Linked DNA regions of Saccharomyces cerevisiae S288C. The protein of the gene in region 1 binds, or shares a complex with, the protein of each later gene. Each region holds a gene or a part of one and is shown in the gene's direction. Other genes may lie near its edges.

What was found.
Region 2: the proteins of KAP122 (region 1) and HYP2 are in contact, whole or in part, in a crystal structure (PDB 6Q84), measured with the Saccharomyces cerevisiae proteins. Residues at the interface, in NP_011499.1 of Saccharomyces cerevisiae: Leu312 (codon at 2,668), Thr440 (codon at 3,052), Asn441 (codon at 3,055), Leu442 (codon at 3,058), Ala443 (codon at 3,061), Ser444 (codon at 3,064), Leu447 (codon at 3,073), Ile452 (codon at 3,088), Trp506 (codon at 3,250), Ser507 (codon at 3,253), Leu509 (codon at 3,259), Gly510 (codon at 3,262), Asn511 (codon at 3,265), Asp512 (codon at 3,268), Asp557 (codon at 3,403), Met558 (codon at 3,406), Thr559 (codon at 3,409), Glu562 (codon at 3,418), Ser563 (codon at 3,421), Pro564 (codon at 3,424), Trp565 (codon at 3,427), Arg1018 (codon at 4,786), Arg1060 (codon at 4,912); in NP_010880.3 of Saccharomyces cerevisiae: Asn29 (codon at 2,018), Phe31 (codon at 2,024), Lys35 (codon at 2,036), Lys40 (codon at 2,051), Val42 (codon at 2,057), Asp43 (codon at 2,060), His58 (codon at 2,105), Val60 (codon at 2,111), Ile62 (codon at 2,117), Gly67 (codon at 2,132), Lys68 (codon at 2,135), Lys69 (codon at 2,138), Leu70 (codon at 2,141), Glu71 (codon at 2,144), Arg87 (codon at 2,192), Asp94 (codon at 2,213), Asp96 (codon at 2,219), Ile148 (codon at 2,375), Ser149 (codon at 2,378), Glu152 (codon at 2,387), Ala153 (codon at 2,390).

What each region holds. Positions count from the first base shown.
Region 1 is NC_001139.9:459,932-465,730, forward strand, and holds KAP122 (Kap122p), read left to right. Parts: upstream 1-1,734; coding exon 1,735-4,980; downstream 4,981-5,799. Other genes in the region: ATE1 (arginyltransferase), read left to right, coding at 1-1,434; BIL2 (Bil2p), read right to left, coding at 5,112-5,504.
Region 2 is NC_001137.3:83,743-86,739, forward strand, and holds HYP2 (translation elongation factor eIF-5A), read left to right. Parts: upstream 1-1,933; coding exon 1,934-2,407; downstream 2,408-2,997. Other genes in the region: ANP1 (Anp1p), read right to left, coding at 1-810; UTR5 (Utr5p), read right to left, coding at 1,303-1,803; MTC7 (Mtc7p), read left to right, coding at 2,437-2,856. UniProt on the Saccharomyces cerevisiae protein: Translation factor that promotes translation elongation and termination, particularly upon ribosome stalling at specific amino acid sequence contexts.

The sequences.
Region 1 (5,799 bases):
AAGGGGGGCAACATGGATCAGTTGTTCGCATTGGATTCGTGGGCTCATCGTTATATGAACAAAATGGACGTTGTAAAGATTGAAAACTGCACAATTGGCTCTTTCGTGGAACATATGGATGTAGCCACGTATGATCGCATGTGTAATATGGGATTTAGAAGGTCTGGTAAGTTTCTTTATAAAGTGGACCCGTTGAGGAATTGTTGTAGGTTATACACCATTCGAACTGCCCCTCAAGAATTGAATATGACAAAGGAATTGAAAAAATGCATCAGCCGCTTTGCTACTAGAATAACAAGTGAGGACTACTGCCCAGCCGCTGTTGCAAGCAGTGATTTTGTGGGCAAAATTGTTAATGCAGAGATGAATTCTAAAACATTCTATACCCGATTTGAGCCTGCACTTTATAGTGAAGAAAAGTATCACTTATTTGTCAAATATCAGGAAAAAGTGCATCAAGACTACAATAATTCGCCGAAGTCCTTTAAGCGATTCCTATGTGATACGCCCTTTGGCCCTGAAGCGGTGTTGGGGACACAAGAATCATGGGAGCAGTTAAACAATTGGCAGCGAATGAAGCCAGGCGAGAAACTGAAGCATATGGGTCCTGTGCACGAATGCTACTACTATGAGGGTAAATTAATTGCCATCACTGTGTCAGATATCTTGCCCAGTGGTATATCTTCGGTATATTTTATTTGGGATCCAGACTACAGTAAATGGTCCCTAGGGAAGCTCAGTGCTTTGCGCGATCTTGCCATCATTCAAAGGACAAATCTGCAATACTATTACCTGGGGTACTATATTGAGGACTGTCCGAAGATGAATTATAAAGCAAACTATGGTGCGGAAGTACTGGATGTGTGTCACAGTAAATATATCCCATTGAAACCCATTCAGGATATGATTTCTAGGGGCAAACTCTTTGTCATAGGTGAAGAAGAGACGAAAGTTACTAAGGAGCTCTACCTCGTTGACTCTGAAACCGGAAGAGGGGAGGGATTTCCCACTGATAATGTTGTCAAGTACAAGAATATTGCTGAGGAAATATACGGTGTGGGAGGGTGTGCGTTTAAATCTGCAAATGAATCTGCATTGGAATTGAAAGAACTTTACGGTATACCGTACGAAGAGGAAGATTTAGATACCATCTACCATTTGAAAGAACACAATGGCCATGCTCCAAATGGTATTCCTAATGTGGTGCCGGGATTACTCCCGCTATGGGAATTGCTGGACATTATGCAATCTGGCAAGATCACTGACCTGGAGGGAAGACTATTTCTCTTCGAAATCGAAACGGAGGGGATTCGACCATTAATTAACTTTTATAGCGAACCTCCGAATGTCAAGAAACGTATTTGTGACGTGATACGGTTATTTGGCTTCGAAACTTGTATGAAAGCCGTCATTTTATATAGTGAGCAAATGTGAGCCTTCAACACACTATTCTAATAACAATCCTAATGTATAACATTTTTTAGCATTCAAACATTCTCACCATCGCGCTGAGATAATTTTATATAGTTGATGGAATAGTTTTGGAGGTGATTTATCCATTAAATACCTGATGCTTTTTTGTCTCCTCATCGCGTGAAAAATTTGAGAAAAAGCTCGAACTATTTGTAGCACTTCACTGTATTGCTAACAGTTCTTAAAAACTTCAGAACATATAGATATTGCTAAACACAGATTTGAATACCATAGTAACTAGTCTCTTATTCTTAGTTTTTGATGAGCTCCATTCACGAGGTTGTGGCTCTTATTGAAGAGCTGTACTCTCCTCATCCGAAACATGATGTTAATCAGATTCAACAGAGTTTACAGTCAATCCAGAAATCAGAGCAAGGCTTCCACCTAGCTAATGAGCTTTTATCTGATGACAAGTACTCTGCGAATGTCAAGTACTTTGGTGCACTGACTTTAACTGTGCAACTAAATACGCGGGGTGAAAACGATTATGAAACCCTATGGAATGTTTTCAGGTCAAATTTATTGTACTTGACGAAATTCAGTACATTGTACGTTTCCAATCCTAATATGTACGGGCAATCTCTAATCATAATTAAAAAGTTAATGTCAAACTTGTCATTGATCTTCACTAAAATCAACGATCCGCAGCTTAATAACGCTGGAAATGAAAATATGATTAAGCAATGGAACAATCCCATAAATACGTTTATTCAACTTATGTCGGTTCAAAATCAAAACATTAATGCAGACCAACTGTTGCTTGACTCAATCAACTGCTCCTTAACATACGAGCAACTGTCTCAATTTGTTAGCCTATCTCAGAAACATAATGAACTGGCATTGACGTTTACAGAAGTTATTGTGGAAGATTTGACGAAGTTCCAAACAAAGAGGCATTCAATGTCTCAAATCCACGAAGTAGTCCATGAGCATTTATATATTTCAACTATGGCTTTGATCAACTTGAACTTAACTGCACAAGCTGTCTTCAATCCTACCGTATTTGATTGTATTACTGCTTGGATTAATTATATCTCATTAACCAGAAGCGTATCTTCAAGTGGTAGAATGGATTTGTCGGAAATTTTTCAAAACCTGATTGACTTGATGTATCAGTCTACAGAAGGATCGGACGGTTATGAGAATGCGGAAAAGATCCTAACAATATTTGGTAATGTTTTTGCTAATGATCCATTATTAATGAGTTACGATTTGAGACAACAAATCGAGTGTATTTTCTTAGGTGTAGTAAGGCCTGATTCTGGCATAACCGACATATCTAACAAAAATTCTTGGATGCTACAATATATGAATTATTTAGTTACCAATGATTTTTTTTCCGAATTGAAGGAATTGGCCATTTGTATTGTGGATTTCTTGCAAATTAACACGTTAAGTGTTTGTAATAAATTATTTACTAACATTCAAGCAGCTGATAATGGTCAAGTTCAAGATGAATATATTCAGGAATACATCAAAGTCCTTTTGCAAATGACCAATTTCCCTTTAACTCCTGTCTTACAAGAGTTCTTTTCTGTTAGAATGGTTGATTTTTGGTTGGATTTATCGGATGCTTACACTAATTTGGCTAGCGAAACTTTGAGGCCAAATTCTATTGAGCTGTCTACACAAATTTTTCAGCAGTTGATCAATATTTATTTACCCAAAATTTCTTTGAGTGTGAAACAAAGAATAATTGAAGAAGAGGGTGAGAGCACTTCTGTGAACGAATTTGAAGATTTTAGAAACGCTGTCAGTGACCTTGCTCAATCTCTCTGGTCTATTTTGGGAAACGATAATTTAACAAATGTGCTAATTGATGGTATGGGCCAAATGCCTGCTGCGAGTGATGAGACTCTCATCATCAAGGATACTGATGTTTTGTTTCGAATTGAAACGATGTGTTTTGTTTTGAATACTATATTGGTTGATATGACTCTATCAGAAAGCCCATGGATTAAAAATATCGTTGATGCCAACAAATTCTTCAACCAAAATGTCATATCCGTCTTCCAAACTGGTTTCCAAACTAGTGCCAGTACAAAAGTCAGTCAAATTTTGAAACTTGACTTCGTAAGAACAAGTACAACTTTAATCGGCACTTTGGCTGGTTATTTTAAACAGGAACCTTTTCAATTAAACCCATACGTGGAAGCTTTATTTCAAGGTTTGCACACTTGCACCAATTTTACTAGTAAAAACGAACAAGAAAAAATTTCGAACGATAAACTTGAAGTTATGGTTATCAAGACTGTTTCAACATTATGTGAGACATGCCGTGAGGAGTTGACTCCATATTTGATGCATTTTATAAGCTTTTTAAACACAGTCATTATGCCAGACTCCAATGTTTCACATTTCACTAGAACTAAATTGGTTAGATCTATAGGTTATGTCGTTCAATGTCAAGTCTCCAACGGTCCAGAGGAGCAAGCTAAATATATTTTACAATTGACGAACCTATTGAGCGGCTCAATAGAGCATTGTTTGGCTTCATCGGTACAGTTACAAGAACAACAAGATTATATTAATTGTCTATTATACTGTATATCTGAGCTAGCAACAAGTTTGATCCAACCTACTGAAATCATCGAAAATGATGCATTACTACAAAGGTTATCTGAGTTTCAAAGTTTCTGGTCCAGCGATCCCTTACAAATCCGATCGAAAATTATGTGCACCATTGATAAGGTCTTGGATAATTCAATATATTGTAAAAACTCCGCCTTTGTGGAGATCGGTTGTTTGATTGTTGGTAAAGGATTAAATCTGCCCGACGGGGAACCGTACTTCCTCAAGTACAATATGTCTGAAGTTATGAATTTTGTTTTGCGGCATGTCCCCAACTGTGAGCTTGCTACTTGCTTGCCTTATTTTGTTTATTTATTAGAAAAGCTTATTTCAGAGTTCAGGAAGGAACTAACACCACAAGAATTTGATTTCATGTTTGAAAAGATCCTTCTAGTCTATTATGATGCATATATTATCAATGATCCGGACCTTTTACAAATGACAATAGGTTTTGTTAATAACGTTTTGGACGTGAAGCCAGGCTTAGCTATTGGCAGTAAACATTGGACATCATTTATTTTACCTCAATTTTTAAAATTAATACCTTCAAGAGAAAAGTTCACAATTGTTGCGGTGGCAAAATTTTGGACTAAGTTGATCAATAATAAGAAATACAACCAAGAAGAACTCACAACTGTTAGGCAACAAGTTTCCTCTATAGGAGGAGACCTTGTGTACCAAATTATGTATGGCTTATTCCACACACAAAGGTCCGATCTGAATAGTTACACAGATCTGCTAAGAGCTTTGGTAGCCAAGTTTCCAATTGAAGCAAGAGAGTGGCTCGTTGCTGTTTTGCCCCAAATATGTAACAATCCTGCAGGTCATGAAAAATTTATTAATAAATTACTTATTACGAGAGGAAGCAGAGCAGCTGGAAATGTTATTTTGCAGTGGTGGTTGGATTGTACCACACTTCCAAATTACCAAGGATGATTTGTTAAGAATTTCTCCGCTGAGGGTGAAGGCTATTCTTTGTTACATTTTATTTAGTAATGCGTTGATCCTTTTTGATAGATTTTTTTTTTGTGCTTTAAAGATAGTAGCAGTATATATGTGTGTAAAAGCTAATCATCAGAAGTGCAGCATTCATTGCTAGTATTTAGTGATAAAAATTTTAGAATTTCCATTTCTAATTGTAATTGCTTTTCATTCCAATACATGTTTGAGCTTCTGGGGGGTAAAAATACATTTCCAGACAGGGCGTCAGGTTGAAAGCAGTTACTGAAACATAGAGAGTCGACGTCAGGAGGAGGCTTCAAATGGTTTTCTGAAAGTGATTCGGTCTTATTTTTCCATTTTCTAAAATGGTGAATCCTTTCTCTGGAAATGTGTGATCCCTTTGCCTTTTGTGAAAACTTTTTTAACGAGCTTTTTAGGTTATTAGTTGTCTCAAGAAGGTTTATGGGCCCGCTGGTCTCGATATCTGCGTAATTTAATGGACGTATCGTGTCTTCCATGGAGTGAATTGTGATTTGTGAATTATATCTGTCCAATACCGTTGCCTTGTTGGGAGCTCAGATAGAAAAGACATCTTAATTCCAGACAGTCTATTCTCTGTCTATTTCTCTTTGTGACTGCAAATTTTAATTTGTGACGCCTTTTCTTATTACTCATGTATTTGTCACTCTTGACGATTGTTTTTTTTCTATATTTTTTTTGTTCTGGGGTCCTCCAGAGAATAAAAAATAATGATCAATATAGTAGATAGTATAGTTATATTCTTATTCGTTGCACCTTGTTTAACAAATCACT
Region 2 (2,997 bases), on another chromosome or scaffold:
TTCCACAATGACAGCATCTTCGTCTAGGGAATCCGCCAATTGAAGACCCCCTTCTGATTCCTTCCATGAATTTAAATCGTAGGGTTGAATGTTTCCCAGCCAGTCTGGTAAAGGTCTCCAGACGTTGGGGACAATGACGTCCTTGTCGTGATGCATTAGATCCTCCATGATGGTAGTGGGGATGGTTTCGACATCCACGTCTCTCCAGTAAACCCAGGAGTGGTATGGTTTCAGGGCCACGGACCCAAGCCAATTACGAGCCCTGGCCATCAGCTTTCTTCTGGGGCCCTGGGCGCCAAACCCGTGACGATCAGAAAAGGACTGACCAATGATTTGGCCGAAGTCCTTCTCATAGATTTCGATGTTACCAAACCTTTTGGACTTGTCTTGTTGCGATTGCGCCATCTGTAGATTGGATAGTAACACGCCCATGGTGTTATCCGAAGAGTCACTCACCAAAAACGACAGATCAATCAGGTTGTGCGGATATGTCATGGTATTCAGATGGTTAAAAAACATGGGAAGATGCTCAGAAGCATCTCTCAGTGGCACGCAAAACAAGATGCGGTCACCCTGTTGCCAACCATCTTTGTTGCCTTGGTAATTTCGTAGGTCGTAGAACTCTACGCTGGGAGTATTTTTAAAATCTGGAACATAGGGCTTGAAGATTCCTTGGAAAGTTACCAGCTGGAATAGCGATATCGAGAAGAACGAAAGCACGAGTCTTGTGAGAAAGAACACCGTAAGCAACGTTCCAGCGATACTTACTGTGGTAGGGTTGAACGAGAGTTTTCTGTTATTATACTTCATTATGGACGTACACTTTGCATGAAAGCCACAAGGAACTGTTTAATGGAGCGAAAAAAAGATGATGAGGGTAAATCGCACCAACACTCGCCTAGCAACTGAGTGATGAATGGTTTTGCAATGCTTGCTGTCTCTACTAACAGATCTTGGCGTTTTTGAATCGTGTAGTTATTTTTATTTATTTTTTTTATTTCATGTTTTCATGATTTCATCTTACGCAATTTTTTCACGATGAGACAAGGCGGGCGACCCCACACAAGAGGAAAATTGAACACAATGCGTTGGTAAAGGGATTACGAATTGATTAAACCAACATAGTGAGACAAGAAAAGAAAAGAAAAGAAAAGGAAAATGAAAAAAAATAAAAAAAAGAAGGCAACTAGACCAGATGAGCCCGGTTCATTTCTATTCTCTGCAGTCACTGCTATTTTCATCAACAGCGCAGGCCAAGTTGAACGAGATAGTAGCAATCGTAAAAGGAACTAGCTAACTTCATCATGAAAGTTTACCCTTTCTTGCCGCTACCCTTCTCGTTTGGCTGGTATTAGAGCACAGCGGATATATCCGGCTCAACAGTATAAGTAACGATAAGTCCTGACCATTGGCTTCGTTCTGGTGGCATTTTCTCTGAGGGGTGAGAACAGCAAAACGGGAACGGCGACTTGGAGTAGTATAACGCTGTAGCTGGACGCTGAGGGGCCAAGGCCGGTAAAATTCTGCAACACCCAGACCTTGCTGCAGTGATATCATCCACCCATACCCCTCGATGTATTCCGTAGCGTTATATCGGGTCCGTGTGAGGCGACAAGGGACCTCCCGCACCGCACATACCGCAGGAGCTAAAAGAAACGCCGTCGCCCGAAAAAAAGTTTCGAAGGTGAAGGAACAGTGGTAATAAAAATTTTTTTCGTCGTCGTCGTCGATCGGCTTTTGGCCGCGTTGATCGTCGTGTTCCACGATTATATAATGCACAAGGTTTTTGCCATATCTTGACATTGGAATCCCTCATTTCCTAAATTCCTCTCCTTCTATCAATTGCTTCCTTTCCTTCTTTCTAACGATTCTACTTCTGTAGCCAATTACTCATAGACTCCCAAACACACACAAATACCAACTCATATATACAATGTCTGACGAAGAACATACCTTTGAAACTGCTGACGCTGGTTCCTCCGCCACCTACCCAATGCAATGTTCTGCCTTGAGAAAGAACGGTTTCGTTGTCATCAAGAGTAGACCATGTAAGATTGTCGACATGTCCACTTCTAAGACTGGTAAGCACGGTCACGCTAAAGTCCATTTGGTTGCCATTGATATCTTCACTGGTAAGAAGTTGGAAGATTTGTCTCCATCTACTCACAACATGGAAGTTCCAGTTGTCAAGAGAAACGAATACCAATTGTTGGACATTGATGACGGTTTCTTGTCTTTGATGAACATGGACGGTGACACTAAGGATGATGTCAAGGCTCCAGAAGGTGAATTGGGTGACAGTTTGCAAACTGCTTTTGATGAAGGTAAGGACTTGATGGTTACCATCATCTCCGCTATGGGTGAAGAAGCCGCCATCTCCTTCAAGGAAGCTGCTAGAACCGATTAAACCGGTTAACATCATGGCATGGGATATAAATGAAAAAAGAAAAAAAAACTCCGACGCCCCTTCCATCACATCATGTACTCTTCGCTGAACCGGGTTTTTTTCTTTGCAATTTTTTTTTCGTTCTCCTAAAGCATACACAAATAAATCCTTTTTTTTATTTTCTATTTATTTTGTTATTTATCATCTATATAGCAATAATATACTTTGTTTTTATTCGTATTTCACACTTTTCTTTTTCCTTATGCAGGCAGTGTAATTCATTGGGGAGGATGATTTTCATGTGCGCATATCTACCGGCTGCAAGCAGCCGGTCGGTGGCAAATCCGGCGCTTCCCCCTCAAAAAAAAAAAAAAAAAAAAAAAAAGGGAACTCTCAGAACGGGGGAGGTTGAAGAGCAGGCCAAGGGAAATATTAGTTTTGACCTATGTGGGAAACAGAATTTTCAATGAGTTATGGCAACTTGGCCGAGTGGTTAAGGCGAAAGATTAGAAATCTTTTGGGCTTTGCCCGCGCAGGTTCGAGTCCTGCAGTTGTCGTTATTTTTCTCTTTTTTTTCAATTTCCCTTGTTCGTCAGATCGAGGCGGTAGAA